Linked DNA regions of Rattus norvegicus. The protein of the gene in region 1 interacts with the protein of each later gene in a pairwise test. Links are inferred from orthologs where the notes say so. Each region holds a gene or a part of one and is shown on either strand. Other genes may lie near its edges. The genes, in order: Cdh1 and Cbll1.

Region 1 (16,132 bases):
GACATTTCTGTGAAGCAGGAATTTGGGAAGGCTGTCCTGTCTTTGTCTAGGTAAAAAAAGGCAGTTAGTATCCCAGTGCACTGCCTGTCTACAGATTGGACACTGAGCTATCCGCAGATGAGGCAAAGGGCAGTCTTCTGCCCCGTGGCCAGTTTTGAAGCAAGCTTCAGGGGGAAGTTCTTCTGTGCCCACCATCTTCTTTAGAGATTAGGGGAGCTGCTGGGTGCCAATGTCTCTATCATGAAAAGCTTCCTATTAAACATTGTAAACGCCATATTCAGCAGGCTTGAGGGGCAGTACCTGCCAAGTATATCTGAGTTAAACAACCTTTGTTTTTAGTTTTCTGCTCTAAACTGTATTAAGACGAGGCCTTGGGGTTCCATTCCTTTTAGGTTGGAGCCTTAAAAATAACAATTTTGAATTTAAGCTCTTTTAGTATCAAAATAAAACTTTTAATCATAGATACAGCTATAGAGACTAGCAACTTTAGTATACCACTATGAGCCACTGGAGGTTTTTGTTTGTTTGTTTGTTTTTGGTATGGCTTAGTTTATCCAAACAGCTAAAGTTTAAAAGACAGAGAATCTAGATAAACATTATTATGAACCTTATTAGACCTTAGGAGTTTATAGATCTTGGTTATTAATATACCTTATTTATCAAACATTGGTTGTTACATATCTGCATTTTTAGCAGCTTGGTGTTCAGCAATTAGCAAAGGCTTAAGACGTTATCTTAAATTAGTTTTTGTTAATTTGATGGGTCTTTATACTCTTAAGGTATATTTTAGTTTTTTTTTTTTTTTTCGGAGCTGGGGACCGAACCCAGGGCTTTGCGCTTCCTAGGCAAGCGCTCTACCACTGAGCTAAATCCCCAACCCCTTTAAGGTATATTTTAAATTAGAGGTGAATCCCATATACAGTATGTTGTATACTACAAATATAATTCTAGACTTTTATTATCACCATATAAAAAATCCATATCCATTTGTAATATTTTAGACCATGAAGACACGAAGGTACAGTTTTGATATGTTACATATGGCGGAAAGAGAGAATTAACTCCCCAGAGTTGTTCTCTGGCGTCTGCATAAGCGCTGTGATGCTCAAGAACTTGCGCTCGCTTGCACATGGGCACAAACAATAAATATGTAAAGTTTTTGTTTTGTTTTTAAAGACTCTGGAACCAGTAACCCTGGGTTCACCTTGCGGCTAATCCACACTTTTTGACAGTGAATTGTAGATGTCAACTTGAGTAGAGTTAGAATAGAGAATAACCAAATAGGTGGGAAAGCAGTATCCCTGAGTGTATCTGTGAGGTTGTGTCTGGAAAATATTGGTGGTTCAATCAGTGGGTTGCGTAAAGAAGGGCCACCGTGACTGGAGAGATGGCTCAGAGCACTGGCTGCTCTTTTAGAGGACTCAGGTTCAAACCCGACATCCATACGTGGCTCATAACTGTCTGTAACTCCAGTTCCAGGAGATCTGACACTTTTTTGGCCTCCTAGGGCAATGCACGGACACAGAATATAGACATACAAGCAGGCAAAACACACATACACTTAAAATTCAAAATTAAAAAAACCAGAAGATCCATCAAGTGTGGATGGGTTCTGATCCAGTGGGTTTGTTTTTGTTTTTGTCAATTTGACACAGCCGGAGTTATCTGGGAAGAGGAATCTGAACTGAGAAAATGGCTCCATCAGATTGCCTGTAGGCAAGACTAGCCTTTGCTCAGTTCCTGCCTTCAAGTTCCTGCCATTGAGTCAGCCCTTCATGAGGAAACCTGTAAGCCAAATAAATCTTCTTTTCTCCAAGTGGCCTCTGGCCATGGGGTTTTATCATAGCAATAGAAAGCGCACTAAAATAGGTACCATCTAACCTGCTAAGAATTCCCACAAAATAAAGAGTGGAAGACAGGTGCACCAGCTCTCACTGGAAGCCAGGATGTTCTCCTCTGCCCTTGGTAATCAGAACTCTTTTTAAAAATTTTTTTTTAAAAATTCTTCTCTCGTGGTTGGGGATTTAGCTCAGTGGTAGAGCGCTTGCCTAGCAAGTGCAAGGCCCTGGGTTCGGTCCCCGGCTCCGAACATCCTGACCACAGTTTCTACTCCCTCCCCTGGTAATCAGAACACTTGGTTCTTCTACTTTTGGACTCTGGGACTTACATTAGGCTCTCTGTTTCCTCTAGTTTCCCTGGCCTCTGGGCTGAGACAGAGCTGTGCTGCCAACTGTGGAGGTGCTGCTGATCCTGTTCTTCAGAGTGCTCTAGTCATTTAGACTGTCTGCTACTGTAATATGGATGTCTTGATCGAGTGATGGCCAAGACCTGGTGAGGACAGGAGAGCTTATGCTTATCGACCTTGGCAGGCTGCCCTAAACGGTAGCTGTGCTTTAGTTAGTGCCATAGTGCACTCATTGGTCCTAGCACAATACCTGACACATACTTTGCACTCTGTGTTGTTGTTTTGTTGTTGTTGGAGACAGGGTTTTTCCATGTAGCCCTGACTGTCCAGAATTTGCTCTGTAGACCAGGCTGGTCTCAGAACGCAGAGATTCACCTGCCTAGGCTTCCCGAGTGATGCTACCACCCGGCTGCATTCTGTACGTATGTAATAAATAAATGAATGAATGATTACCTGCCCATAGCCCTTACCATCTTATGAGCTTCATAAAGACAAGGACCATATTCGGTTTATTTCTGTGTCCTCTATACTGAGAAGAACATCAGGCACGTGGGAATACTTGATAAATGCTTGTTGTCTGACTCAGCGAGATATGGAGCTGAGCTGAAGAATCCTCATCCTTGGGGCTACAAACTGCGAGGTGACTAGAACTTGGTAATGGAGGCTCAACTGACACCAGCTGAGTCTTAGCTTCTGAGGAGAGGGTAGCCAGAGGACTTTTTACTTTGGGATATTATGCTATGGGAAGGGCCCCGCCCCTGGAGTGTTGCTTTATTTTGTTTTAATGTTCATTTGCTCCTGTGTCCATGCATGTCATAGTATGAGTGGAGAAGTCAGTTTTCTTCTGCCACATGGGTTCTAGGGATCAAACTCAGGATGTTAGATTTGGCAGCAAGAGCCTTTACCTGTTGAGCCATTTCATTGAACCCTGACTTTTTTTTTTTTTTTTTTTTGCTTAAAACTTTGACTCTGGGGGATTGGGGATTTAGCTCAGTGGTAGAGTGTTTGCCTAGCAAGCACAAGGCCCTGGGTTCAGTCCCCAGCTCTGAAAAAAAGAAAAAAAAAAAAAAAAAAAACCTTTGACTCTGTTGGCACTGTGGTGTATGTCTTTAACCCCAGAACTCCTTAGGAGGCAGAGGCAGGCAGACCTCTGTGAGTTCCAGGCCAGCCAGGCTATACAGTGAGCTCCTGTTTAAAATAAAGACAAACAAACAAACAAACAAATAAGTAAATGTCATATGAGAACATGGCAGGAAGTCAAAGAGTAAAGTCAGAGTGTGGCTAGATGTTGTCTGTAGCTTTTTGCTACCCTCTCTAAACTCCAGGAAGCTCCCACCCAGCTTCCTTTGAATCCACAGGTAAAAGACACATAGTTGTTGCTTTTTTTTTTTTTTTAAAGATTTATTTATTTATATATAAGCACATTGTAGGTGTCCTCATCTACACCTGAAGAGGGCATCAGATCTCATTACAGATGGTTGTGAGCCACCACGTGGTTGCTGGGATTTGAACTCAGGGCCTCTGGAAGAGTAGTCAGTGCTCTTAATCACTGAGCCACCTCTCCAGCCCCAGTTGCTGCTTTTTAACTTGCCTTCTTGGCACAATTGCTGGGTGCTACTGACTCCCGCCTGGAAAAGTATGCCCTTAACGACATTCTTATCTCTGTTCCTCCCACCTGCCCTTAACTTTAGTTGCTAGGATACATCTAGTCCCTGCTAAACATCCTTGACCATCCACCTGTAGGAGCAGCCTGTGTCAAGCTGCTCCTCCCAAGACCTCACATGGCATGGCTGCTTGGTTCTCCTCTCTGAAGCATGACAAACTCTCTCCTCTCCTCCCTTGCTTCTGTTTCTCTTTTTCCTCCGAGGACCTGGAAGTCCCACCTATTCCTTCCACTCAGTAATTAGCTTATGGCTTTCTTTACTGACAGATCAAGAACCAACTGGGGAACAGGACCTTAGCATCAGCACCATCCCTACAGCTAGACTTGTTAATATTCTCAAGCGCAGGGTTCACTGAAAGATCTGAAGTAAACAAGTGAAGTGATGGAGGAATACACCTGACATAACAACTTCTGGCCTCCAGAGGAACACATGTGCACTTGCAACTGCATACACATCACACACGTATGCCCTAAAAGAATGCATCTGGACCACTGAGATCATTGAGAGGGTCTGGCAGGTAAAGGTGCTTGCCCCCAAGCCTAATAGCAACAGAGTTCAATCCTCAGGATCCACAGGTTAGAAAGAGAGAACCTACTCCCAATCTGCCCTCTGACCTCCACACACTCCATTCACACCAAGGCGCTTCCCCTCAAATAGAGAGGTAGGTAGGTAGAGAGATGATAGGGTATAATAAAAATAAAATCCAAAAAAGAAAAAAAATGATAAATTAAAATTAAAAATTGTGGGGTTGGGGATTTAGCTCAGTGGTAGAGCGCTTGCCTAGCAAGCACAAGGACCTGGGTTCGGTCCCCAGCTCCGAAAAAAAGAAAAAAAAATTAAAAATTGTATCTGAAAGCTGAGAACCAAGGCAAGCCTTTTATCACAGCACTTGGGGGACAGAGGCAGGTAGGTCTCTGTGAACTTGAACATGGTGAGATTTTTTTTTTTTTAAATTGCATCTAGGTTGAGTATAGTACTCACACCTATAATCCTAGCACTTGGGAGGATTGCCCTGCAAGTTTGAGACCAGTTTGGGCTACAGCACCAGTTCCAGGACAATATGTGCAAGCACGGTGTAGCATTCACATTGTATTAGGCAATTTAGAAATAATTTCAATAAGGACACTGTGCGTTGTTCCCTCCCTGTCTCTCTTTGACATGGTCTTACTGTGTAGCCAGGGCTGGCCTGGTACTGTCTGTATAGACCAGGCTGACCTAACTCACAGAGATCTGCTAGTTTCTGCACCCCAAGTGCTAGGATTAAAGGCCTGTGTTTACCAGTAGAACCTTCAGTGTTTTTGCAATTCTGAGGCTGGAACCCAGACTATTCAGGAGGTTAATCATTAGCTTCCCAGATGACCTGTAGGGCATCCAGGAAATGACCCTCACTGTTCAATTAAGGAGCCTACAGCTTATGAGCCACTGAGGGCTGGGTGCCACGAATCGGGGAGTGGGCCGTCTGTTAATCTTCCCTGAATGATCACAAGGCGCTTTTCCCCATTAGTCCCCGAACTTCCCAGGATCCTAACTCCTGGATTTAATTTTTTTCTCCTCCCATGTTGATAAGCTATTATATGCAATCACAGACCATCCCAGCAGTTGTCCAACACACAGACTAGCCAGAGCCTTTCATTCTTTTGAAAGCAGCAAGTTCAGCCCCCAGCACCCTCTTTAAAATGTAAATGGCCCTGAGAAGTTCTAAATGATTAGCTGGATTGTGTGGAAGTTTTTCCCAGGCCACAGATAGCCTAAGAGGCTTTTTTACTGGGGTGTGGGGAAAAGAGAGCCTGGGGCTGGGGAGGTTCCCAGGGTGCTCACGTGTGTGTGTGTGTGTGTGTGTGTGTGTGTGTGTGTGTGTGTGTGTGGTGTGTGTGTGGTGTCTGTGTGTGTGTGGTGTGTGTGTGGTGTGTGTGTGTCTGTGTGTGTGTGGTGTGTGTGTGTCTGTGTGTGTGGTGTGTGTGTGTCTGTGTGTGTGTCTGTGTGTGTGTCTGTGTGTGTGTGGTGTGTGTGTGTGTTTTGTGTTTTTCTTTCCCCATAGACTGTTTCCCTAGTCTGCTGTTGCTGAACAGAGTTGCCTGGCCTGGTGGTTCGAGCCTGTAACCTTCGGTCGATGACAAGTTCAAAGCCTGCCTGGGGCGGTACAGAGTGAGTTTAAGGTTAGCCTGGCAACTAGTGGAGACCTTGTCTAAAAAAAAAAAAAAGTATAAAAAGGGCTGGGAATATAGCTATCCATACTCTGTGTCTTGGGTTTAATTTCTATTAAAAAGAGCAAAAATGTTACAGAGTATGAAGGAGGATCTTCTGAGGGACCGGGACGTATAGTTCAATTTGGAGAGTGCTTGCCTGAGCATTCACGGGCCCTGGGTTGGATTCCCACCTACTCCCACCAACTTGGGAAGTGTGGTATGGAGACGCACACCTGAGATCCCAGTCCTGGGGAGACAAGGGCAGGCAGATCAGAAGTTTATGCTTATCTCTCACCCACGAACCTTCTGAATGTACTGCTATCAATACCACCCTTTATAGATTAATAAATGCAGACCGGGGAAGAGTGTACAATTCAGTTCCCATCGCATAGTCTCTACATACTGGCTCAGTGACTCTCCACACTGAAGTTTTATGCCTGTTTGACAGAAGGGTAAACCGAGGAAGGTCACTGCTACACAGAGCCCCAACTGTATAGGGAACCCCTTTGTGTTTTCTCCTCAGCCTGCATAGCCTGGCTGGGGCAGTGAGTGGCCCTTTCTTACCCTCTCCAGAGGACTTGAGCAATCTGAAGAGTGCATCAGGCCTGAAAAGCGCATCAGACCTGACCTGTCTTTGCTGCCCTTAATTGTTGTCTAAAATCCTTTTTATTGAATTATCACCGAGTAATGGAAGAGTCAATGAAGAGTCACCACAGAGTTCCAAAGCCAGCGCTTGCTGGCCAAAAGAAAGCAAAGCCCTAACGACTCCCCGCACCCAGCAATGATATAAAATATGTATTTTTTTATGTAACTGGGAGGAAAAAAAAATAAACGACAAGGCTGCCCCATGGGGGAGAAAACGCCTCTTTCTTTTTTTTTTCCATTATCTTGTTCGGGGCATGATCTGGGCAGGAGCTTCAGTGGGAAAGGAAATACCAGAGCCTTCTCCCTCAGAGCCGCCTGGTGGGCTAAGAAGCAGAGGGAGCCAAGAAGCAGAAATCCAAAAGGCTGCTCTGTGTGTGCTTGGAAAGCCATTGAAATGGAGGGGTCAGCCTGCAGGGAGAGCTGGTGGAATCAGTGGGGGTTGTGTGGGTTAGAGACAGCACCTCTGTGGATGAGGCTGTGCTCTCTGTGGACTCAGGTTCACCGTTAGCACGGTGGGAAATACTCATGGTCAGATTGGGCTGGACCTTTCAAAGGCACAACCTCCACACTTCAGTCATTGCTTCGGCGTTAGCACAGATGAGGACTTGCCCAAGGTTGCACAGCTAGTGACTGGCAAGAATATTATTTTGTAGTTTTGGGTTGCTTGTTGAGATTCACGGGGCTCAAATCCAGTACATAGCTGAGAAGGATGGCTTTGAAGTTATGATCTTCCTGCCCATGTGTAACCCCTATGTGCCTATTACACAGAGGCACCACCATGACTGGTTTATACAGTGCTGAGGATGGTACCCAGGGCCTCATGCATGCACTTGACAAACTGAGCCACATCCCCAATCTCTGTTTTGCCAAGGCTAGGCCAACAGGAGTGAGAGGTGCCTTTGTTTTCATGTAGCCAAGCAACACAGACACGGCAGGCCATAGGCAGACAGGGAAACTGATCTAACGTTTGTCTATTTTCTTTTTGATCCTAAAATTATGTACCGGGGACAGGATTCTCTGATGAAGGTGCTGATGGCTGTGCTATGGCTATGGCATTAAAAGTCTCTGTCTCTGGGGCAGGAGAGCTTGAGTTCTGGTCTTTGCTTTAGCATTGACTTGCTACATGATATCAAGTTGAAGGTAAATAACAGATTTGAGAGACTACTAAAGCATCTCTTCCAGCTCAGCATGAAAAACAAAACAAAACTGACTGGAGAGGGCTGGAGAGATGACTCTGTTTGAGAGCACTGGCTGCCCTTCTAAAGGAACCAGGTTCAAATCCTAGAACCCACATGATAGCTTATAGCTGTCTGTAATTCCAGTTCTAGGAGATCTGATACCCTCACATAGACATACATGGAGGGGGGGAACACCAATGTAAATAAAACTTTAAAAATAAAAAATGTAAAATAAAAATAACGAAACAAAAAACCTGACGGGCGTGGTGGTACATATCATACTCCCGACATTTAGGATGCTGATGCGAGAGGATCCTAAGGTTAAAGCCAGTCTGGGCTGCTTAGGAAGAACTTGTCTCAGAAAACAAATACACACAAAGTCGTAGTGGCACATGCCTTTAATGTTAGTTAGCTCTTGGGAGGTAGCAGTAGTTGGAGCTCTGCGAGTTCGAGGCCAGACTGGTCTACATAGTGAGTTCTGAGAGAGACCTCAAACAAACAAACAAACAAACAAACAATAACCAGACAAACAAGGGGCCAGGGAGGTGGCTTGGGAGTTAAGATGACTTGCTCTTCTTCCAGGGGTTCAGAGTTCAGTTCCCACGCTGAGCACTGAAATTGCCTGTAATTCCTATTCCAGGGGATGCTAATCCATTGGCTTCCTCCCTGGCTCACTAACCTCCTGAGAACTGAAGTTAAGAGAACAGATTTTAGTGGAGCTACCGGGTAGTGGGTCCCTGTAGCTCCATCCCAGAAGTGAGGAGACTGAGACAATAGTGAGTTCAAAGCCACACTGGACTACATAGCAAGACTGTATCTCAAAAGGGAGGGGGACAGGTGTTAGAAAATTAGATGATTAGTCTGGTCTGGTGCCCCAAATCCTAGCATTTGAGAGGCTGAAACAAGAGGATGGCTGAGGCTACTTGGGCTGGAAAACAAACAAAAAAGGCTACCAAAGAAAACCGCCGGAGAGATAGCTCAGTCAGTAAAGGCGAAAACGGCATCTGTGGCACAAGCGTTTGCGAGTATATGCCTCCCCTCGCGCGACACACACACACACACACACACACACACACACACACACACACACACACACGTTAAAATGTCATTTAAAATCCTTAAGACAATGTAAATCAAACCAAACAAACTCATCTAACCAAACAAAATAAATACAAACAAAACAGAAACCTAGATGAAGAGTAAAGTCTTTTGTAACTGCAAGTCTCAGTGGGCCAGAGCACAGCTAGGCTAGGATTCGAGCGACCGAGGAATAAGGAAGCAAGGAAGTCTCCTAAGCCCGGCCCATGTCACCAATTTACAGACGGGTGGAGGAAGTTGAGGGCAGTGCGGGCTCCTTGGTTGCCACCTGCAGGTGCGTCCCCAGCCAATCAGCGGCGCCGGGGGCGGTGCCTGCGGGCTCACCTGGCGGCCGCAGCCTCTGCTTGGCTCACTGGTGTGGGAGCCGCGGCGCACTACTGAGTTCTCAAGAACTTCTGCTAGACTTCAGCCCGGCCTAACCCGGCCCTGCCCGACCGCACCCGAGCTCAGTGTTTGCTCGGCGTTTGCCCGGCCAGCCATGGGAGCCCGGTGCCGCAGCTTCTCCGCGCTCCTGCTCCTGCTGCAGGTATGTGGAGGGTCCCACGACCCGCTTCGCTTTTTCGCTTTTTTTTTTTTTTTTTTTTTGCCTTCTGTGGTTCCACTTCCCTTCTTCCAAGAAAGTTGGGCTCCAGAGGGCCAGATCGCCCTGGAGGCTACGCTGTGCAGGGAGGGAGGTCCAGGAGAGCGCAGAGGGGCCGCCTCTCGCTTAGGTTCCCAGGTGGGGGCGCGCCACGCTGCCGTCTCCCGGGACCCCGAGTTGAGCAGGGTCCCTGTTTGAGACGGACGGAGGAGGCGTGTATTAGGATGGGGGCCTGCCTGTAGAAGGTGGGGGACAGAAGGAGCGCGGACGACCCGAGATAAGGAAAGGGATTTTAGTACCACAAAAAGCACCTGCCATGTGAGGGAGGGACCGTAGATTGGAGATGGGCTCTCTAAGGTAAGAGGGAAGTCCGAGGCGTTGGTTGAGACCGTTCGCGGTCTAAGAAAGTGGTGTCCGGAAAGAGTAAAGGCGTCTCCAGTGAGATGCAAATGGAGCTAGGAGAGAAAGGTAGACCCGGTTGCCAGGTGGTGGCCCCAGATGCCCCCTCCCCCAAAGGCTCTTGGAGCTGAGCTTGGAGGCTGGTTTCGGGTTGAGAGGGTTGCGTCCCGGTCTGCCCCGAGGGGGTCCTCCCACAAATCCCGACCGCCCAGGCGAGGGAAGGGTTACTCTTGGTTTCGGTGTGGGCTGTTGGGAACCCCCTCAAGTCACCAGTTTGTCTACCTTCTCGCCACCCCAGGTCTCCTCGTGGCTTTGTCAGCAGCCGGAGTCGGAGTCTGACTCCTGCCGTCCCGGCTTCAGTTCCGAGGTCTACACCTTCCTGGTGCCGGAGAGGCACCTGGAGAGAGGCCACATCCTGGGCAGAGGTAAGGGAACTCCACTGCGTTAATCGGCCGAGTGGGGTCGGATAGGGAAGGCGCCAAGAAATTGTGCTACTTTGTCGGTAGGATGGAATGGGCAGAACTCTCCCTTGGGATTTAGGCAGATTTGGGAGTCTATTTATTGATTGTGGTTGATCAAGGCAGATATGTCTGTCTCTGCTATTTATACAGGGCAGAAACGGGCCAAGGGTATTTAGAGGTCATCGGTATTTCTCCAACCGATTACTGGAGCCAGTCTGTCATTCCAGACCGCCAAACCTGCTGGGTAGGGCCAGTTGAACTGTATATCCATTTAATGATGAGCAATTGGAGGCTCAAAGAGTGACTTCACGGGGTCAACAGGGCAGGCATTTGAACCGGGATTTGACTCCCACTATTTAGGTATGGCCACTGAGGAACTGACTCATAACTCATGAACATGACTTGTGGTTTTTGTTCATAAAGATAAAAATACTTGATACAGGTATTGCTTTTCCAAGGAATACTTTATTTATTTATTTATTTATTTTTTACTTTCTTTAAGAAAAAAGGTAGCTCTGGTTCATATATTCAAGGACTCAATATATATTCAGGTCTTACTGTGATAATCTAGAATTTTCTTTAACTGTTGGGCATGGCTGGGAGCAAGGCAAGAGGACCAGGTGTTTTGTTGTTGTTGTTTGTTTTTTAACTGGTTTCCCTAATTTCCAAATGCTTCTTTGGCACCAAAATGGCTTCTCTCATGAGGAGTTTAGTTGATCCCAAAAGTATGATAAACAAAAGGGAATAATTTTAGAAGGAGAACTCACCCAATCCCTTTCTGGGAATACTTTGACCACGTTTGTTCTTCCAGCCATAAGCCACCTGAACAATCTACAGCAACCGTGATGGCGCCTAAAACTTTGTTGTGAGCCTTGCGAGTTGGGTCCAGGTTTGGTGGTGCATTTTACAGAGAAACAGCAGCTCCGTTGGGATTGGCTAGTCTTACTTGCTTTTCTGAGACCTGACTGGTTTGGTGGAACTTTTTTTTTTTTTTTAAGATTTATTTATTTATTTCATGTATGTGAGTACACTGTAGCTGCCTTCAGACACACCAGAAGAGGGCGTTAGATCTCATTACAGATGGTCGTGAGCCACCATGTGGTTGCTGGGAATTGAACTCAGGACCTCTGGAAGAGCAGCCAGTGCTTCTCACCACTGAGCCATCTCTCCAACCCATTGGTGGAACTTTCTAAGGGTCCAGAAAGGCTGCAGCCCCGTGGGCCTGAGGTTGGAGTGGTTAGGGATCCTTCAGCCAGTCTCCACTTGATTCCTGCCCAAGGAATAATTTGAGCCTCTGGTAGGTTGCTGAGAGCATTTCAGGATGCCCTTCAGTGGCACTTTGGGATGGACTGGTGAGGGATGAGTGGCCTAGGATGTTTCCGAGGGTGGCAGTGAGTGTCTGAGAATAAGTAGATGTCACTCAGTGTGGAGCAGAGCAGGCTTAGACATGGGAGCGCTTATATATCAGGGATCCCAATGCAGTGCCTCAGTTAGGACCGCCTATGTCAGCAGCGCTGAGGATGAGACCTGTAATGGCCTGTTACAGGTTAGCCAGGAACTTTACCACCTGTGTGTTGGTCGGGTTTTTTGTTTGTTTGTTTGTTTGTTTGTTGAGACAGGATCTCCCTATGTGATTCTCCTGCCTCAGACTGTGCTGGGATTACATGCTCACTTTGGCACTAACCTGGTTTTTATTTTGCACCTCTAAGGGCTAGTGAATAGTCACTAACACCACTGGTTATCGGTGACAAGATCACTTAAAACTGATAGTACCACCTGTTCACTTTGGTCCCGTGAGGCGAGTGAGTCATTTACCTAAAGTAAAAATGAGAATGTCTGGAGGGTGGACACCATTCCAGTCCTCAAGGAACTCACGAGCCTGACTGGCTTCTGTATTGCCTGAAGCATCTACTGCAGGTCCTCCTCTTCTTGGTTTCCTTTTCTCCCGAAGAGAAGACAAAAATAAGTGAAAATGTGTGCTGCTGCTTGGTGTGGTGGTTCACACCTGTGACCAGCATTCCGGAAGTGAAGTGTGTGAGCTGCCTCCCTGGTGGTTCACACCTGTGACCAGCTCTTGGGGGAGGGGGGGAAGCTCTGAGGCCAGAGGCTTGCTAAAAGCTGGACGTTTGAGGTCAGCCTGGTCTATGTAGTGATTTACCTTGACTACCGAGTGAGATGAGACCTTTCCTAAAAGAACAAGAAAGAAAAAGAAGAAGGAAGGAGAGAGATGGGAGAGGAGGGAGGGGGCGCGGGATATGTGTGTGCGTTTTCGGGGAAAACACAGTCCATTGTGAAAATTGAGGACAGAGGTCTTGAGGTAGGGGGAGCTGAGAGTGGCTGGCTCTGATGGAGATAGAGCTTGCCCTGTGGGAGTTAAAGAGCCTCCCCGCTGAGAGCATGCTCAGTGGGAGGTAGAGAGCCCCGCCACCACCGGTGGTTTAGGTGGGAGAAGCAGCTTCCACACAGCAGCCCACAAGCTTCCAAGCTTCCCCGGGCTGGTTCCAGTTCCCCTTAAGTCTGAGGCTCCACCACTACTCTCCAGGGGTCTAATCGCACCAGTGGAATGTGGAATTGCTCTAGATCAGAGGTATCTTTCCAGAAATCACACATTGTACCCCCAGAAACTGCTTTGTGTAAAAGAATTGCCTTCGTTTAGGAAGGTGGAGACACTCTTTGGACCTGGGGAAACAGAGGATTGTGGTATTGGGTCCACTATGCAGGCTCCTGAGAATCTGACACTGGTGGCTAAAAGGTCAAAAATAGGCTTTGATGTGGTTGGTTAGCATCATCCCGGTGTCCCAAGAGCTCACCTGTAGATTCTTTGGCTTCTAAAATGCAGAATCTTCAAAGCCAAAACCCAACCCCCTCCACTATCTAAGCATATTCTTTAGTTAGGTTGGTTTGTTTGTTTATTGTTTCTGTTGTTTGTTTTTGAGACAGGATCTCCCTATGTAGCCTTAGCTGGGTTGGAATTCACTGTTGTAGACCAGGCTGCCTCTGAACTCACGGAGATCCCTCTGCTTCTGCTTCCTGAGTGCTGTTCTGTTTCTATTTCTTGTTTTTGTTTTTGTTTTTTTGACACAGGGTCCCAGGTATCTCAGGCTGGCCTGCAACTCTCTAGGTAGTAGAGGATGACTGAATTTGTGATCTTTCTGCTCCCACTTTTCCAGGGCTAGGATACAAGTGTGTACCGCCATACTGCTTCTTGTTTGTTTTTAAGCTGATTCAGGGTTTGTTTTTAATCTGTATGTATGTGTGTCAGGGGCTACACTAATCTCTGTCCTGTTCTAATTTTAGTCTGTGTGCAGCAGAGTGAAGCACTCTGGTTTATTGAGAGAGGGTCTAACTCAGGCTGGTATGGAACTCACAGTGTAGCCCACATTAGCCTTGAACTCATGGTGGTAATCCTCCTGCCTCAGTTTTCTGAATGCTGGGATTCCCAACAACAATCACCAAGTCCAGTTTAAGCTGCTTCTTCAGAGTTGATTATTTTCCCTTTCTTTTTCTCTTTAGCACAAACTTTTCAGGGGCCCAGGCTCCTTGACTAATACACCAAGGTACATCCCTGTGGAGTGCTGATAAATCCTTTAATTGATGGCTTCCACAGCTTTACAATGTCTGTAGGACAAACGGGCCTGTTTTTTGGGCCGGGCTCTGGTTATTTGATGGATTGACCTAGTTCCCAGGCAGCCACCTGTGTGGACTAAATACACCCATTTCTTCTCCATTCCGAAGGATGTGCTGAAAGCTGCTTGGACAGTGAGAAAAGCAAACATAGAAACCTGCTTTAGGGTCCCCTTACATCATCAGATACCCACTTCCCACCCCCAGCTTCCTGAACTTTCCCTAATTACTCATGCTGGTGACTAGGGCTCATGTGGGCCATCCCAGGAAGGAGAGTAGTGGCTGCCATTCTGTCCTTGCTTTTGTGTCTCCCGAGGAGTGTAGGTGGTGAGGTCACTGGCTAAGCCAGGCCATTTAAGGAAGCTGCCCCAGCTCCTGCCCCACCTCTGCCAGGTGTGTATGGAAATCCCTGTTTACTCTCTGGGGCTTTTTACTGGCTGAAATGCTCACCTTGGTATCTGTTACTCATTCCCTTCCAAGAGCAGCACCAGATAAGCCAGGTGTGGAGACAATCAGCTCTTGAAATCTCCCACAAGCTGCCAAACCCCTAAAATCAGCAAGAGACACCCAACATAGTCCAGACTCAGCCGCCTAGGGTTTTATTCTGCCTCACCGTTATCTCTTTTTGGGGCATAAAGTTTTCCAAAGGGAAGAATGAAATCAGTATAGCAAGTCGTTGAGAAAGTACAGAAAGGCTCAGGTTGAACTTCAATAGCTGCTACTAATGTGGCTTTACATAAATAAGACAGTTTACCACTATGAAACTCAGTTTACCCATCTGTTGGGTGTGAAGAATCATGTATATTTGTTGTGTTATATGCACTAGTGCATATTTGATTAGTAAACACCTGGTGCTAGCTGGAGTATGGGCATCTGGCTGTCCATATCGAGTTGCTGTTTTATGCCAGTGCTAGGCTAGACTCTGGGGCTAAAGCAATGAATGAAACGTATGTGGCTGGGGCTGGAGAGGTGGCTCAGTGGTTAAGAGCACTGACTGCTCTTCCAGAGGTCCTGAGTTCAAATCCCAGCAGCAGATGGTGGCTCACGACCATCTGTAATGAGCTCTGATGCCCTCTTCTAGTGCATCTGAAGATAGGTATGGTGTACTCATAATAAATAAATAAATCTTAGAAAGCTTATATGGGGGTTGGGGATTTAGCTCAGTGGTAGAGCGCTTGCTAGTCCCTGGGTTCGGTCCCCAGCTCCGAAAAAAAAAAAAAAAGCTTATATGGCTGAACATAAATATGGGACCGGGCGAAATGCAGGAATGTAAAGAAAGTAGGCATAATAAGGGCCAGTGAGCTGGGTGTGGTGGTGCACTCAGGAGATAGAGCCAGGCAGATCTCTGAGGTCAAGGACAGTCAGGGTTACACAGAAATTCTGTCTCAAGAAGAAAAAAAAAATCAGTGAGCAAAGGCACCTGCCACCAAGCCTGAAGACCTGAATTTGGTCCACAGGACCCACATGGTAGGAAAGAAAGGACTTCCAACGTTTATTCTCTAACCTCCACATGCATACCTGAGAGTACACTCCCAATAAGTAATGTTTATTTTGTTGCTGTTATGTTTTTTGTTTTAAAGCCGAGGATGGGGGTGCACGCATTGAATCCTAGCACTCAGAAGGCAGAGTTCAAGGCCAGCCTGGTCTACATAGGAAATTCCAGGCTCTGTAGGTCTATTTAGTGAGACCATGTTTTAAAGATTAAAGAAAGTCTTGAATTCCTCCACACCCTGACCAAGGTCCTATAGTGAAACTCTGGCCCCTCCCCCATCGCTGCTGTTGCCAAACTCAGTCTCTCACTACTACCCACATCCTGATAGTCAGGGCAAGACCATTTGTAAAGATAGGGCTTTGTCTGGATAAACAACTCCAGGAAAGAGAAACAGCAGTTGTACAGAGCCTTAGCAGTATTCCCCAAAACCACCTATATAAGTCTTCACCTTTCAGAGACACCCCTCCCCTCCTCGAGAGTGTTTGCCCTGCGCCGGTTGAGGTAAATAAACTGTCCAGTTTGTGGAGGTCAGTCTCCAGTCTCTTTTCTGTTTGTCTCTAAGTTGCTTCAGAAATTTACCAAGAATTACTAAATAAAGCCAGGCGTCATAGTCCATACCT
Region 2 (15,378 bases), on another chromosome or scaffold:
AACATTTTTTTAAAAGAGGCCAATATAATAATGTTTTATTGATCTAGGAACTCTGGCACTGAAAGCGTGAACAACCCAAGGTAACAATGTCGTCACCAAGGGACGACCATAGAGCCCAAATCCCTTGACTCCTAGGCTGATGTTTTCCACTAATTGTGCTCCTTTCTACTCATCTGAGAGCTTCAAGTGTGAAGGGCTGGAGAGGGGAGAAGACCTATTATGAGCCAAATCTAGGTGGGGGGTGCTCTGAAGGTCCTCACCAATCGCCGTTGACACTTGCTTTTGTTTTGGCTGAGCAAGATGAAAGCAGCAACCACAGACCCCAGGGACCAAGAACTGGAACTAGGTACCGCCTGTTTTGGTAACTCTCTTTTCCTCAGTCGGGGCCTGCCCTTTCTCATTTCTTCCCTCTGCCCAAGCCCTAACGCTTTCCCTCCGACTCCATCGGTTCCTATCCTCCCTCCTTCACCTTCTCTGCACACAACTGCCTTGCATCCTCGATGGACCGGGACAACCTGGAACTCCCTACAGCTTTTGCAGGGATTAGAGGCGCCTGGTGTTCTCTAGAGCGAGGGGCTAGTCAGCATTATACACGCATTTCAGTTTGAGAAACTACGGTAAGAGCCAGGGCGAACGCGCGTGTCGAGTGGGCGTTGGGGCTCATCAGGACAAAGCCTGATTAGGCAATAAGAACCTTTCCTCCCTCCCAGCACCTAACTCAGCTTCCCTCGGGCAAGAACGGAGCGCGCGTGTTTACACTTCTCTATACCCAGCGGCGGATCCGGGGGGCATTCCAAACCGTTACTCCGCCCGGTGGGGTGGGACCAGCCTAACGGCTGAGACTGCACTCTGGGTGGACTACAAATCCCAGAAGGCCTCGCGCCGCAGGGGGTGGGCGGCGGCTTACCTGCCTGCCTCGCTTCCCTCTGGTTCCTATTGCTCTCCCACTGCAATAGATATCCTTCCTACAGCTGAGGGCAGCCTCTGGGGAGAATTAGAAGTCTCGGCACCAGAGCCCTCGTGTCCCCTCTCTTCCTGCCTCAGTCCTGCCTATGTGTGACTCCCTCACCAAAGTCGGATGGTGCGGTTAGGAAGGGAAGCCAGTGAGAGCAGTCCCAGCGCACTTCCGCCTCTGCGCTCCGGAAGGTAGGGCGCACGCGCTTGCTGCGACTCCGGAGCGACTCACTTCCGCTCCCACTGTACCCTGCGAGCCGAATCATGGATCACACTGGTAAGGAGGCGGAGGCAGCGGGGGTCCTAGTTTCTTGCCCCCGTGGCTCGTGTGGGACTGGTCGCCCAGCAGGCACAAGAGGCTACGCTCGCCCCAGTGCGCCGGGACGTGGCGGAGAGGAAGCAAGCTCAGGCCCGGTCCCGGACTGGGCCTGCTGCTTCCCGGCCTACCCTCGGAGCGGTGCCTCCATCCTCGAGACCGGCAGCACCGCTTCTTTGGTGCCGCTGAGCTCGTTTCGGAACCCTTCGCAGCGCAGGCTTCTTGGAAAGGGACGGCCCCAGTTTTGTTGTGTTTTTGTTTTTGTTTTTCTCATTCCGGTTGCTTTGCACTTTGTGCTGGGGAAATAGGCGGGTGTTTTCCACTCTCGGAATTGGAGAAGCGTCCGGACTGTGGGCGAGAGTGGGTTGGAGACTTCCTGCTGCTTCTCAGCTTCGGGCGGCTGCTGTAGTGGTCATCTCCTGTGGTTATTGTCTTGTTGGCTTTTCGCGGACTGGTAGTTAGAGAATAAAGGCGGATATAGTTTTCGAACTTATAAGTGGAGCATCTTTTTTCTACCTGAACTCAAAGCATGCCCCGCCCTTCGGCCGTGGTTCTTTCGCATCTTTTGGGGATATATACAGAATTTTTAAGATCAAGATATTTTCATCTTATATTGCGAGTAGCTTCAAACCTCGTTTCTGCTGGCTTCGTTTTCTTGGTTTTAGTTTTAGCGCTTGGCTTTGAGTGCTTCAGACAGTTATATCGCCAAGCAGGAGGAAAGGCTTTTTCTTTAGGAATTGACTGAGATGCGCGCAGTCTTCAAACACCACTTAGTTATGTAATTGCATGCAGATACTTGTAGGCTTGGAGATAGAATGATGGGATAGTAAACAATAGGACTACGTCCTTGTCTTCGAGTTTGCATTCTGTCAAAGGAGGCAGACAGGTTGGTTTCTTTTTTAAAAGCTCCTTATAGATTGTGGTGAGTACTTTAAGAAACAGGTGCTTATGGAGTAAGAAATTTCAGAGAGTACCAGGAAAAGGGCCCCCCCCCCCCACTTTGGAATGGTAGGAAGATATAGAGAAGACCAAATGTCCGTAGCTTAGTTAGTCCTAAGTTGAGAAGGAAAATACAAGTTACCTTTTTCAAGACTTTGAAAATCACGATAAAGAGTTTGAGCGGCTACAAAGCAGCTGAACAAAAGGGAGTATAATATTTTAAAAAATAATTCCTATTCTTCTATATAGAATGGTGGAGAGGAAGAACGGGGGTAAATAAATAATCTATGTGGTGGTTGCATTACCGTAGAGGGAGACCCAGTTAAAGCAAAACTCAGTGGTAGAGCAACTTACCTAGCAGGTCCCCAGCAACGCTGTAGGGGAAGTAGGAGCAGGACTGAGAGAGTAGGCAATTGCCACAAATATTTTGGTGGCGATCCAGCAGCTGCTCATGGGTTTATGGAAGTATGTGAGAGAAATGAGATCCCGCTAGAACTGTGTAAAAGAATTATCCTAGTTTCTAAGTTATTAGCCAAAGGTTGCCTGGAGAGATAAGAACAGTCATTCTAACACGAAAACAATCACTACTGAGCTAGCTAGGTTAAAAAAAAAGTTTCCAGACAGCTCTCCTTTCTGTTTAATGGTAGCTTTTCTAGATTTTAAATCAGTTACAACACAGTCTCCTAGTGCTTCAGTTTCAATTGCTGCACATTTTGAGAAGAAAAAAAATCAAATTAAGTCAAAGACTAAATCAAGAAATGGCAGCTAGTTAGTTGACAGTTTTCTGACTGAGTAGACATCTCAAAATAATGATTTTAATGTCAAAGGATCAAGAGGTCTTTTAAATGGAAGTATTGGAGTAGAATTTTGCCAGAAAGTTTTCAGAATATTTTTAAATGGCAAAGACATTAGTGTTTCTCTGGATTGCAGAAGTGTTAGCAGTGAGCTGAGGGCCCTCTGGGGTGGAAAGAAGCAGCAAAAAAGGTGATGTCCCTGCAGCTCTTCAGGCCAGCTCTGTCCCCATGATCCTACATCTCAGAGGCACCCAGGCCAATAAAGATCCTGCAAACACTTGATTCATTCTTTGGTCATTGTCAGAGATAATCAGTGCTTAGGTAAAAGTAGCCCAATTTTTGTAAAAGACTGCTTCATGCTTTTTGGAGAGATGGACGCTGGGGACCGACCTGAACCCAGAACCTTCCTTCAGTACCTTAGACAGGTTCTATCAGTGAGCTGCATACCTGCCTTCAGTTCCTTGGCTCCTTTTATTCAAGATAAAATATTAAATGTGTTGTTTTTAAAACTATATAATAAAGGTATATTTGCTTTAAACTATTCTTGTTATCCCTTATCCAGATAATTATTACATGCTTTGTGTTTTGTTGTTTTGTTTCTATGTATGGGTGTCCCCACACAAACTTCAGATTTTTGTCACTTAAATCTGTGAGACAAACAGTAGCTTTAGAAACAGGCTCGTGAAAGGGCCAGGCTACTGTTTAAATAATGGAGAACTGTGTTATGTGGGCTGGTTCAAAGGCTGGGCAGGTAAAGTGTGTTGTTTTCATTCACAGAAGTAACACACTAAGAATCCTTGTGATACCTGAAGAGCATCATGTTGGCTATTTCAGTTCTTTGGAAAGTTGAGAATACATTTTGTGCAAGGGGAAAAAAGTATCTGTCATAGATCTGTATAGATCTATGTAGGTATTTCTATATGGGTGAGCAAATGCAGTGGAGACTGCTGAAATACATGAAAGACATTCCATTTTAGTGGAGTCTTGAAGATTGATCAAGTTGGCTTTATTATAATTCAAGGTTGTAGCCATTCATCTAATCATCTATGAAAGATTTTGAGAGGAGTTAGTTGCTATAAGAGTAGAAAGTAAATAGAAGATATTTAATCATTGAGACCCATTTTAAATTTTATTTTGTTCATACAAAAGGCAAATGGGTATGAATTTAATTGATTGGTATTGCTTATAGTTGTAGAAGTCATTAGTACTAGCAGACTACTTTCACATTTTGGTTTTGCCGAATTTAATGTGGACAGTTTGGCTATCAGTTCTGATTGTAATTCTTGCAGAAACACTATTCCTTAATCTGTTTCAGACATTACAATTTTAAGATTACATTTGCATTTTCTATTTTTAAGTGTTTCCCTTTCTAAGGTAAAGTTGAATACTTGTGTTATGTATTTTTATGTACTTGAAAAATAAAGTTTTGTGTGAGTCAGTCCTGTGAAATAATGTACCTCTTATTTGTGGACGAGAATCCCTTTTTTTTCCATAGATGATAAGATTTTAAAGGACTAGAAAGTGTCTTTTTAAGACCCAAGCCTAAAGTATACTTTTCCATTGCAGTGTTGACTGTTAACTAAAGGTATCTGTTGCCTATGTCTTTAGAGATGGTATAGGTCAAATAATGCACTATTACTTCTTTAAAGCCAACACATAAACCGGTAAGATGGCTTAACAGATAAAGACACTGCCACCTTCTGAGGCCCTGAAGTCAACATCCGGGGATGAGGTGGTCGGACGAGAGCCAATCTCCACGGATTGTGTTCTCACCTCCACATATCCTCTGTGGCTCCACAGCAGTCCCCCTCAGCACAATAATTAAAGCTTTATTTTCAAATGTATTTCTAATGTAGTGTTGCATTTTCAATTTGTTACGTAAATTTACCAAGTTTACTGCATGGCTACTTCAAATGTTTGATAATTAGACACATATATAAAGACAATTTCGTTTTTTTCCTTTGTTTTTAAAAATCTTTACAATCTGTAAGGTTTTTTTTTTTTTTTAAGATTTTTTTTTAAAGATTTATTTATTATGTATACAGTGTTGCACCTGCATGTACACGTGCAGGCCAGAAGAGGGCATCAGATCTCATTATAGATGGTTGTGAGCCACCATGTGGTTGCTGGGAATTGAACTCATGACCTCTGGATGAGCAGTCAGTGCTCTTAACCTCTGAGCCATCTCTCCAGCCCTTTTTAAAAGATTTTTAAAAGGTTTATCTTTTTGTAAACTACTATGGAATTTTATGGAAGTTTTTATTTTCACTTTTTAGGAAAAGATAAAGGTTCTGTAATTTGTGTCAGCTTCTGAAAGGGTTCCTGTTAAAGAAAAGCCTAACCAAAAGCGTTTCTTTACAGCTTTGCCCCAAACCTTACCAGTCTAGTATTTCTAATCAGAACCAAGATCTTCAATTTACTGTTTGATGTTGATTTTATCTTTATACTTATAGAACAATTTTCAAAAAGAAAAGTGAAAACAACTATAATTTCTTTTTTCCCATTCATATAGACAATGAGTTACAAGGCACTAATAGTTCTGGATCCTTGGGTGGTCTCGATGTCCGCAGAAGAATTCCTATAAAACTCATCTCCAAACAGGCCAACAAGGTTAAGCCTGCCCCTCGGACTCAAAGGACTGTTAGCAGGATGCCTGCAAAGGCCGCACAAGGTGATGAAGGTAACTTGTTTAAACTGAAATGTAGCTCCAAGATCTGACATCCTCACGTAGACATTCATGCAGGCAAAACACTATTGCACATAAAATAAATACAAGTAAATTTTAAAAGAGTTCTGTTGTTTATCTGAGTATATCAAATAATCCATCTGACTTTATTTACTTAAACCTACTTTAAAATTTTAGCCTTACATATTCTTTGTCTTCTATTCCTTTGTAAGCACCCTTCCCTCTTTTTAAAAAATCTAATCGATATTGTAGAGAGCATTACTTAAAAGTAAAATTTGTTTTCACAGGCCTTTCCAAAGCTGATGTTACTGTCTCTTAAAAAAATGTTTCACATTGTGTATCTATTATGTATGGTATGATATTTTCAAGTATATCCATATTGTAGCATGATTAAATCTAGCTGGTTAAAAATAGTATTTCACATTTAAAAAAATGTTTCAAGTAAGCTGGGTGGTGGTGGTGGTGAATGCTTTTAATCCCAGCACTCCAGAGACAGAGGTAGGTGAATCTCTGAGTTCAAGGCCAGCCTGGTCTACAGGGCAAGTTCCAGGACAGCCAAGGCTACACAGAACAAATCTTGTCTAGAAAAAAACAAAAAAAGAAAAGCAAAAATGGTTGACCCTGGTGATGTAGCACATGGCAGAAAGAAATCCCAGCACTTAGGAAGCTGAAACTAGAGGATTGTTGTTTGAGGTCAGACCCTGTCTCAAACAAATGAATAGTATGTAGTCTATAGATATCCCATAATTTATTTAACTTTCTTGTAGATACTTGTTTTGCTATAATTGTGTTATAACATGAATATTAAAACTTTGACTTGGGAGATGGCCAGGTTTTTAAATGGGTGAGGGTAATTGCCACATAAGCCTGGTGGCCCAAGTTTCATCCATAGAACCATTTAAAAGAGGAAGGAGAGTAAAGACTTGGTTTGTACACTTCAGAATTGATCAGATCTTGCTAAATTATTCTTCAGAAAGGGTGTGTTAGTTTTTTCCTCACACACATCAATATTTTGTATTATTAGCTTAACAGTTTTTTGAGGCAGACTCTGTAACATTCTGTCCTTGAAGGTCAAAAATCTTGCTGCCTTAGCTTTCTAAGTGCTGGGATTACAGGCAGGAGCTGAAGTGTGTGGTTGGATGCCTTTCATAGCTTGTCTTGATTCCAGGATCTATTTTCATTAGTGTCTTTCTCTTAATTTTGAATTCTGTATAATACTGACTTTGTTAAATGTATAGTTCATTTATCTTTTGAACTTTACGTATAAAATATTACTGTAAAGAACTTGAACATTCTAGGTAGCCAGTTAACTAGACTTTGCTCTTTCCATGTTTTAGTATATTCTTTAAAAGACCTTTCCTAGTTTTCATGAATATAAAACCCCCCTCTCCTGTCTTCCCATCTGTTAGAAGTCAGCAAGCTGATTGCAGGCCAACTTTAGTTCCTTTAAAAAAGACAAAGTTACTGTTCAGTTGAGTATTGCCTGTGGCTATTTTTCCACTAGCATGACAGAGTTACTAGATTTATATGACCAAGAGAGTCTAAGAATTATACTGTGGCCTTTTATAGCAACAGTTTGTTGGCCCATGCTTTAGAACATTTATGGGTATGTATTGGTTTTTAAAGTGAGGTCTTACCACAAATAGAGAGTATTTGTTTTTTCTTCCAGGATAGAAATCTTGCTGTTAACATACACTCAAGTCCTAGAAGATCTGTCTTACTCCTAAATTCTATTCTTACAATTTGTAGGTAGTTTAGAATAAATGATGATGGGTATCTTTAAATTTTGTTCAGTAAACATGGTGGTAATTGGTGAGGTTTTATACTAGAGGTGGACTGTGGAGTTGGTAAGAGCGTTGAATAAGAGACTCAAATACATGTCTGTTCTTGGCTCTGGCACTCAGCTTAGGTGGCTGCTGTACCCACTATATGTTGTCATTTCTGAATTACTAGAGGTGGACTCAATGATCATGAAGACTGCTTCCAGCTGGCATTTTAAACTCCAGTTTAAAAATGATATGCCAGTTAATTTCTGTGACAAATGTGGATTGTCTATTAAAATCTGTGGGCATATGTAAGTACAATTAAGGTCTGGTGTTGTAGAGGTAGGATTCTAAAATATTTATTATGATATTTTTATAACTAGTTTTATATACAAAAAAGCTAAGGGAAGTTTTATAATAACATGAATTTAATACAGGTTTTGAGTTTTTTTTACTGTTTTAGAGTAGTTTTTGTAATTTTGATTTTCATGTTTTTAGGTCTCTGAGAGTCAGAAATATTTTTCAGTAAATAGACCAATTTTGCCATGTAAATATACTTTTGAAATGAAATTTGAAGTTGAAAAATATAATGTGACTTTTTTTCTCTCAGAAGGATTTGATTATAATGAAGAACAGCGGTATGACTGTAAAGGGGGCGAACTCTTTGGAAATCAGCGAAGATTTCCGGGACACCTGTTTTGGGATTTTAAGGTATAACTAAAAAATGAAACATTCGGCATTTAGTACTGGTATAGATTTTTAGTATATCTATGACTTGTAGCACACACAAGTCCACTTGCTTATTTCTACCATGTTCAGAAATAATTTGAAGTAATTATTAGTAAAACCAAGTAAAATCATAACTGCTGTTTAAGAAAGAAAACAAGCAAATGGAATTATACTAATCAGTTTTTACTTCTGTTTGTGGTAACAACTTAGGAAATTCTAATCATTTCACTGTGTGAATTGATAAGTACAATTTTCAAAATTGCTTAAAGAGAAAATTTTATTAATTTCAATAGATAAACATCTTAGGTGAAAAGGATGATACACCAGTTCATTTCTGTGACAAATGTGGATTGCCCATTAAAGTCTATGGAAGAATGGTAAGTTACAACTAAGGTTGTTTTTATAACATAATACATAGAAAAAAGCTAAGAGAAGTTTAATTATACCATGAATTTAATATAGTTATTCTGTTTACTGTCTTAGAATAGTTTCAGGAGAATCGCAGTAAGATAAAACACATTTAGAGTTTTTTTTTCAGGAGCTTTATACTTGCAGGGACAATTTTAACATCGCTAGGTTCACACATCTGAAAATAGATGTAGATGCCAGGCAAGGGGGGATAGTCTTCTAATCCTAGCACTCCCAACAGAAGTTGAGGCAGAAGGATCATAAGATCAAGGACTGCCTCAAGTATATCAGAGTGTAAGGCAATTTGAGCTGAACATGAGATCCGTCTCCAAAATAAAAAGGAAAGTGTTAGCAGATGTACAGGTATTGGAAAAAGAGCCAAAGTTTTCAAAACATTTTCAAAAACTTGTTATTTAAGATTGTTGCTGGGCAGTGGTGGTACATGCCACCCACTTTATTGCCCCATTTAACCCCAGCACTCAGAATGCAGAGATAAATGAATTGTTCCAAGATAAACAAGGCTTTGCAGAGAAACCCTGCCTTGAAATACCGGATGGATGGATGGATGGATGGATGGATGGATGGATGGATGGATGGATGGGAGGGAGGGAGAATGGGATGGATGGGATGGATGGGATAGATGGACTCTTAGCTGCTTCTGGTATATAGTCTTAATAAATAATCATTAACTCCTGTGTGCCTTCTGTCTATAGATCACATACTGACAGTATTGAAATGCTATAGGATGCTTAACTGTGATATTTTTGCCTACAGATTCCATGCAAGCATGTCTTTTGCTATGACTGTGCTATTTTACATGAAAAAAAAGGAGATAAGATGTGCCCGGGGTAAGATACAATCATTAGATTGTCTAATAGTAGTGCCTTATAAGCAAGATGGCTTAAAGGTTTTGGTGTAATGGAAATAGACAAGGATGCAGATGTGCTGGCTGAGACACTCTCTGTGAACCTGGAGTTTTCCCCTTCCCTGGAAGAGGGAACTAGCCATTGTTGGCCTATTCAGAGTAGCTAAAATGATGAAATCCCTTTATCACCATAGGAACAGTGTCAGACACCAAACCAGTTTTTGTTTTTGTTTTTGTTTTGTATTTGTCTGGCACACCTGGAAGCAAGTATAGTGTGGTTTGGTGATTGAGAACAATCTTTCCAAAATTAGAATTAACTTTCTTTTATTATTAATTGTATGTGAATAATGTGGGGGTGGGGTGGGGTGTGAGCATGAGCAAGGGTCAGGAGGAAGCTTGGTGGAGTCCGTTCTCTCCTTCCAACTTTACCTATGCTCTGGGGATGGCACTTAGATTAGCAGGCTTGCACAGAAAGCACTTTACCTGTCGAGCTGTCTGATTGGTCCCAGGATTAGAATTATTGAGTTCTAGTCCCCTTTTGACTATTTATTAGCTATGTGGTACAAGTAGGGCTTTATATCTATAAGCTCCCTATATTATTTTTAAGATTAAAATAAGATTTAGTGGAATAGTAGATTCTGGCATATAATAAACACTATGCCAGTCTTCCAGTTACCCAAACATAAGGATGTTGGGTGATAATGACATCATGATAGACTCGAAGTTATGCAGCATGCTGTCTGTTTTGGGATAGCTGTATAATAAAGTGAATATTTATATTAATTTGAAACCTCTGATAAGGAAGCCTTGAGAAAAATGGAATGAAACTTTTTGGATTAGCTCAGGGCTTCCCAGCTCCTCTTAACCTGTACTTAAAAGTACCCCAAGGAATACTATTGGTTGCTAATAGAACTATGAACAACTGTAAGAAAAGATTGCCCCTTGATGGTGTAGGATATGGGCATTGCTAGGGAAAAAAGGGAGGGTTTGTTAGTGACCCAATGACAACTGATTTTCTTGGCATATTTCATTAGGTTTTTAAACATTTTTCTTTTTCCCAGAGCTGGGGACCGAACCCAGGGCCTTGCGCTTGCTAGGCAAGCGCTCTACCACTGAGCTAAATCCCCAACCCTTCATTAGATTTTTAAAGTTATAGATTATGAAATACATACATACTGTGTTTAAGGAATACTAATATATGTTCTATATAGTTATAAAGAACTAGTTATATAGAAGAATATTAATTTGGAAGTATATATTATAGACTTTGTTGAGGTATTTCTCTAATGCCTGTTTCCCAGCCCAGGGTTGTGCATTAGCTTTAAAATTACATTAACATATATTGTCCCATTAAGATAATAATTAAAATGTAATGCAACATTAAATGTAATGGACATTAAAAGATTTTCTCTAAATTTTTTTTTAATTTATTTACCTTTAGTGCATAGGTGTTTTGCCTGTGTGTCTGTCTGTGTGAGAGTGTCAGATTTTGGAGTTACAGATAGTTGCAAGCTGCCATGTGGGAGCTGGGATTTGAACCCAGGACCTCTGGAAGAGCATTCAGTGCCCTTAACTGCGGAGCCATGTCTCCATCCCCTAGAGATTCCAGTATTATTATTTAAAAGTGCAGTTTAGTTTTCAGGTAACTAAATGTGTTCTAGTATGAACTTCACCAGCGTAGTCTTTACCTCTCTAGAGAGTTTGACTGTCTTAATTGTAAAACCAAGTGCAGGAAATAAAGTTACCAGAGTTAATTTAAATAGCATATTCTACTGCTTTTAGGCATCACCCAAAAGAAAAGACCTTACCCTATTTAACTGGAGGTGTTTCTGAATGTGTAGTGAATTAGATGACTGAAAAGCAGGAAATGTGCAAAATGGCCACAAATTAGAAGCATCCTAGCTCCTACAGTGAGGAAAAGTCAACTGAATTTTGAATTCCATGGTTGTAAATGATAGATCCTTTGCTTTGTCCTTCCTGTATGTAAGTCATACTATAGTTAGGGAAAATTAATGAGCTGTAAGTATTGGGAAATAGAAGGTCTCTTAAGGCATTCTATTTGGTGATACAGTTTAGAGTTCTGAGGTAAGAATGTTCTCAGTTTGGTAAAGATGTTGATAATTAGTGTCTGATGCAACCACGGAAGATTAAAGGTTCACTGAGAGTTATTCAGTACTCACTGTTAACTTTGCAACTATCTTATATAATATTTTAAAGTAAAGCTTAAATTAAATGTGCTGTTTTATATTTTGGTTTAAGTAAATCAATTTATCTTCCTGTTTAGATGTAGTGATCCTGTGCAGCGGATTGAACAGTGCACACGAGGTTCTCTCTTCATGTGTAGCATTGTTCAAGGTTGCAAGAGAACATATCTGTCTCAAAGGGACTTACAAGCTCACATCAACCATCGCCATATGAGAGCTGGAAAACCTGTTACCCGTGCTTCACTTGAGAATGTTCATCCTCCTATTGCCCCCCCACCAACTGAAATCCCTGATCGTTTCATAATGCCACCAGACAAGCATCATATGAGCCACATTCCTCCAAAGCAGCACATCATGATGCCACCGCCTCCTTTGCAGCATGTGCCACATGAGCACTATAATCAGCCACACGAGGATATCCGTGCTCCTCCAGCAGAGTTGTCCATGGCTCCACCTCCACCTCGTTCAGTCAGTCAGGAAACCTTTCGTATTTCAACAAGAAAACACAGCAATTTAATAACCGTCCCTATTCAGGATGACTCAAGTTCAGGTGCTAGAGAACCACCACCTCCTGCCCCAGCACCTGCTCATCACCATCCTGAATATCAGGGTCAACCAGTGGTGTCTCACCCTCATCACATCATGCCTCCACAGCAACATTACGCACCTCCCCCACCTCCTCCACCACCAATAAGCCATCCAATGCCACATCCTCCCCAGGCTGCAGGTACTCCTCACTTGGTCTATAGCCAAGCTCCACCTCCACCAATGACCTCTGCTCCACCACCAATAACCCCTCCCCCTGGACATATTATTGCCCAAATGCCACCTTATATGAATCATCCTCCTCCAGGACCCCCTCCACCTCAGCATGGTGGTCCACCTGTAACTGCACCCCCTCCGCACCATTATAATCCTAACTCTTTACCCCAGTTTACTGAAGATCAAGGAACTCTGAGCCCTCCATTTACACAACCAGGAGGAATGAGTCCTGGTATCTGGCCTGCACCAAGAGGGCCACCACCTCCTCCACGAATGCAGGGCCCACCTTCTCAAACCCCACTACCTGGACCACATCATCCAGATCAAACAAGATACAGACCGTATTACCAGTGATCATAGTGTTTTGAACTGAAGATATAACAAGGAAAAAAAATTAAATTAGTCAATCTTAATTGAGCTTTGACTGTGGAAGGAAAACGACCTCTTGAGGTAGCTGTAAAACAAAGTCTTGTCTCTTAAAATGGTTTTAATCTGACTTTAGGATTGCTTTCAAGTACTATTCTGTAGTGCAGATAAATGGCTTGGTTGAGCACAACTATATCTTAACAACTGTTACGTTGATGTGATAAATTTTCCCAAAAGCGACCATTTGTTTAAAAAAATGAAAACAATTTCACTGTTCCACTTTGAGAAATACTGCTTTTATTAAACCCAATGTTTAGTTTCCTTGTGACACATTTTGTTAACCTGTGTAAAAGAATTAAATTTCAAAATGGTTGTAAAAATGCTATTTTTATGTGAATTTAAGTGCAGCCATATCATTTTTTAACCCATATTTTACCACTAATTTTCCAAAGTTAAAATAAAATCCTAAAAGTAAAAATGTACTAAATTGTTACTAGGCAGACTGTTAAATTGTAGGGAATTATTTCACGTTTTAGGCACTGAAATTTCAAGGTGTATTGTATAGTGCGTTTCACTTGGATGCCTTTTCATGTTGGGTAACCTGTGAAGCTCCAATACACATCAGAGTTTGTGCCCTTAGTTGGCTGACGTGTGTCTCAGGGTACCCGTTGTATAATTTGGAAGGTGACCTGCTTTACAGGCTCTAACCGCCGATGAGTGCTGTTTTCATTGATGCTTTTCCTGAGTGCTTAGTCACCTAATTTGTCACACTTAATCCTAAATTCTGTTACTTTATAGGACTTTTAAAATGGTGTTATTTGGATGAAATGTGTTCTCTGTTCACTCTCTTAACCTACATATTTGGGGCTGACTAGGCTCTATTTAAATCTGCATTTGCTCATAGTTTGATTCTGTACTTTAGTGCATAGCGTGTTCTTATTTATGGGATTATAAACTGCAGTTTGAGTGCAGTGGAGGGATCTGACTAATGTATTAGCAAGCGGTGTTCTTGTAATCACAAGCTAGCATTTACTCAGGTTTTGTGGCTGTGGTGAGTTTTTCCTCTAAGTTGGGAATGTAAAACTATTATTTCTTCTTTCTTTTCTTGGTAAAACAATCTAAAATTGGAACATTTTACAATGGAATCAATAGTTAAAGACACCCAGATAATTTTTAATTGGGCAGAAGAAAAGTAATGATTAGATTGTGAATTTCAGTGCCGAGGAAGGTGCCTTTAGAGTCAGTGTTTGCATTACAGGGGCTTGTTACAGTCCACTGGAGACGACCACTCAGTTTTTACTGTTTCCTATGTATACGTCAGCCTTCTCAGGATGTTATTATATATCCTTCGAGTTGACTAAACTCTTGTGAAGCTTTTCTTCCCCTTTAAAATGGTGCATAATATAAACATGGTGTGTAGTGTGCAGATAACATTTATTAGATAGTTTGTAGTATATAAATTTAGAACATTGGTTTTTGACAAGGAGTATACTGATTGCTAATTCACCATTCTGTCAGGTACAGGAAAACATTCTCATGTTGGATGATCAGATGCAAAAATCATTTCTAAACTTTGAGAAGAAATAATACAATGGCCATCCATCCTTGGCTGGCCAGAGATAACTAATGCAGGTTTTTCTTGAGCAAGTTTTTTTTCACATGTAGCATTTTGAGAATCTGGTTTGCTCATGCACTATTTCTAGTGAGAAATTCTTGTTATTAGAAGCATGAAAGTGAAATAGTGCGACGTGGTGAGTGTTTCTATCATTACTGTAGGTACTTGGACTGGTGCAAACTTGATTCTTTTTCTTGCCCCTGTTTAGGAGCTATTAAAATATTACTGTTAAAATCCAAATAACCCTTTGTTTCACATAATTGGAAAATAGCCAGTTTCATATTAGCTTCTTTTTAGCTGTTTATGAGAAGCTCTTATACTGAGATTGACTGGGATTGGCTGTGGTAAGAAACCACTTCGCCTGTTTTTGGACCAAAAAAAAAAAAAAAATCAGTATCATGAAAAAAATTCCACATTATGAGAATTCTTGTAGGCTTTAAAAAAACAATTTCAGTTAGGTTGATACATTATGCTGGGATGCAGGTGAGATGAATGTTTTGTAATAGAATTTTAAATGTTAGACTCGAATATCAGTTAATTGTTTGAATGAGGGGTGGGTGGGTAGACAGATAACAAGATTATTATTAAGTGTTTCTGTTCTTAAGGAAAAAGATGTGAATCCCAGCACCTTTCAGGGAAGCCTTTGAAGCTGTCTATGATGGACATAAGTCTAAATGTATGTATGTTTCATTAATTGCTCTTAAGACTACTGAGGTGGCAGTTTAATTCTTAAAAACAATAAAATGAAAGCATAAATACTATTTTGCCTAGATGAGTTTTTAAACCTGATGACATATTTGGGAGACTGCAGAACTTTCCATGGTTCTACAGTAAAATTAGACTCACCTTTTAAATGTTTATAACCAAAAAGTTACCTTGTGTATTTTTTTTTTTTTTTTTGGTATATTTGTTCAGTTTGTGGATACTTTGGAGGAAGATCCATTTTTAAGACAGTAAAGAGCTATATTCACTTTGCC

The links.
Region 2: the proteins of Cdh1 (region 1) and Cbll1 interact in a two-hybrid assay, tested with the Homo sapiens proteins (2 studies listed by BioGRID, with this or other methods). The link is inferred for Rattus norvegicus from reciprocal best matches to the Homo sapiens genes CDH1 and CBLL1.

Annotation. Positions count from the first base shown.
Region 1 is NC_086037.1:51,392,870-51,409,001, forward strand, and holds the start of Cdh1 (cadherin-1 precursor), read left to right. Parts: upstream 1-9,308; 5' UTR 9,309-9,434; coding exon 9,435-9,482; intron 9,483-9,785; exon of another isoform or gene 9,786-9,893; intron 9,894-10,233; coding exon 10,234-10,360; intron 10,361-16,132.
Region 2 is NC_086024.1:53,798,604-53,813,981, reverse strand, and holds Cbll1 (E3 ubiquitin-protein ligase Hakai), read left to right. Parts: upstream 1-1,196; 5' UTR 1,197-1,218; coding exon 1,219-1,231; intron 1,232-2,019; exon of another isoform or gene 2,020-3,359; coding exon of another isoform or gene 3,360-3,525; intron 3,526-5,515; coding exon 5,516-5,683; intron 5,684-8,062; coding exon 8,063-8,163; intron 8,164-8,474; coding exon 8,475-8,558; intron 8,559-9,363; coding exon 9,364-9,437; intron 9,438-11,738; coding exon 11,739-12,774; 3' UTR 12,775-15,162; downstream 15,163-15,378. UniProt on the Homo sapiens protein: E3 ubiquitin-protein ligase that mediates ubiquitination of several tyrosine-phosphorylated Src substrates, including CDH1, CTTN and DOK1. Targets CDH1 for endocytosis and degradation.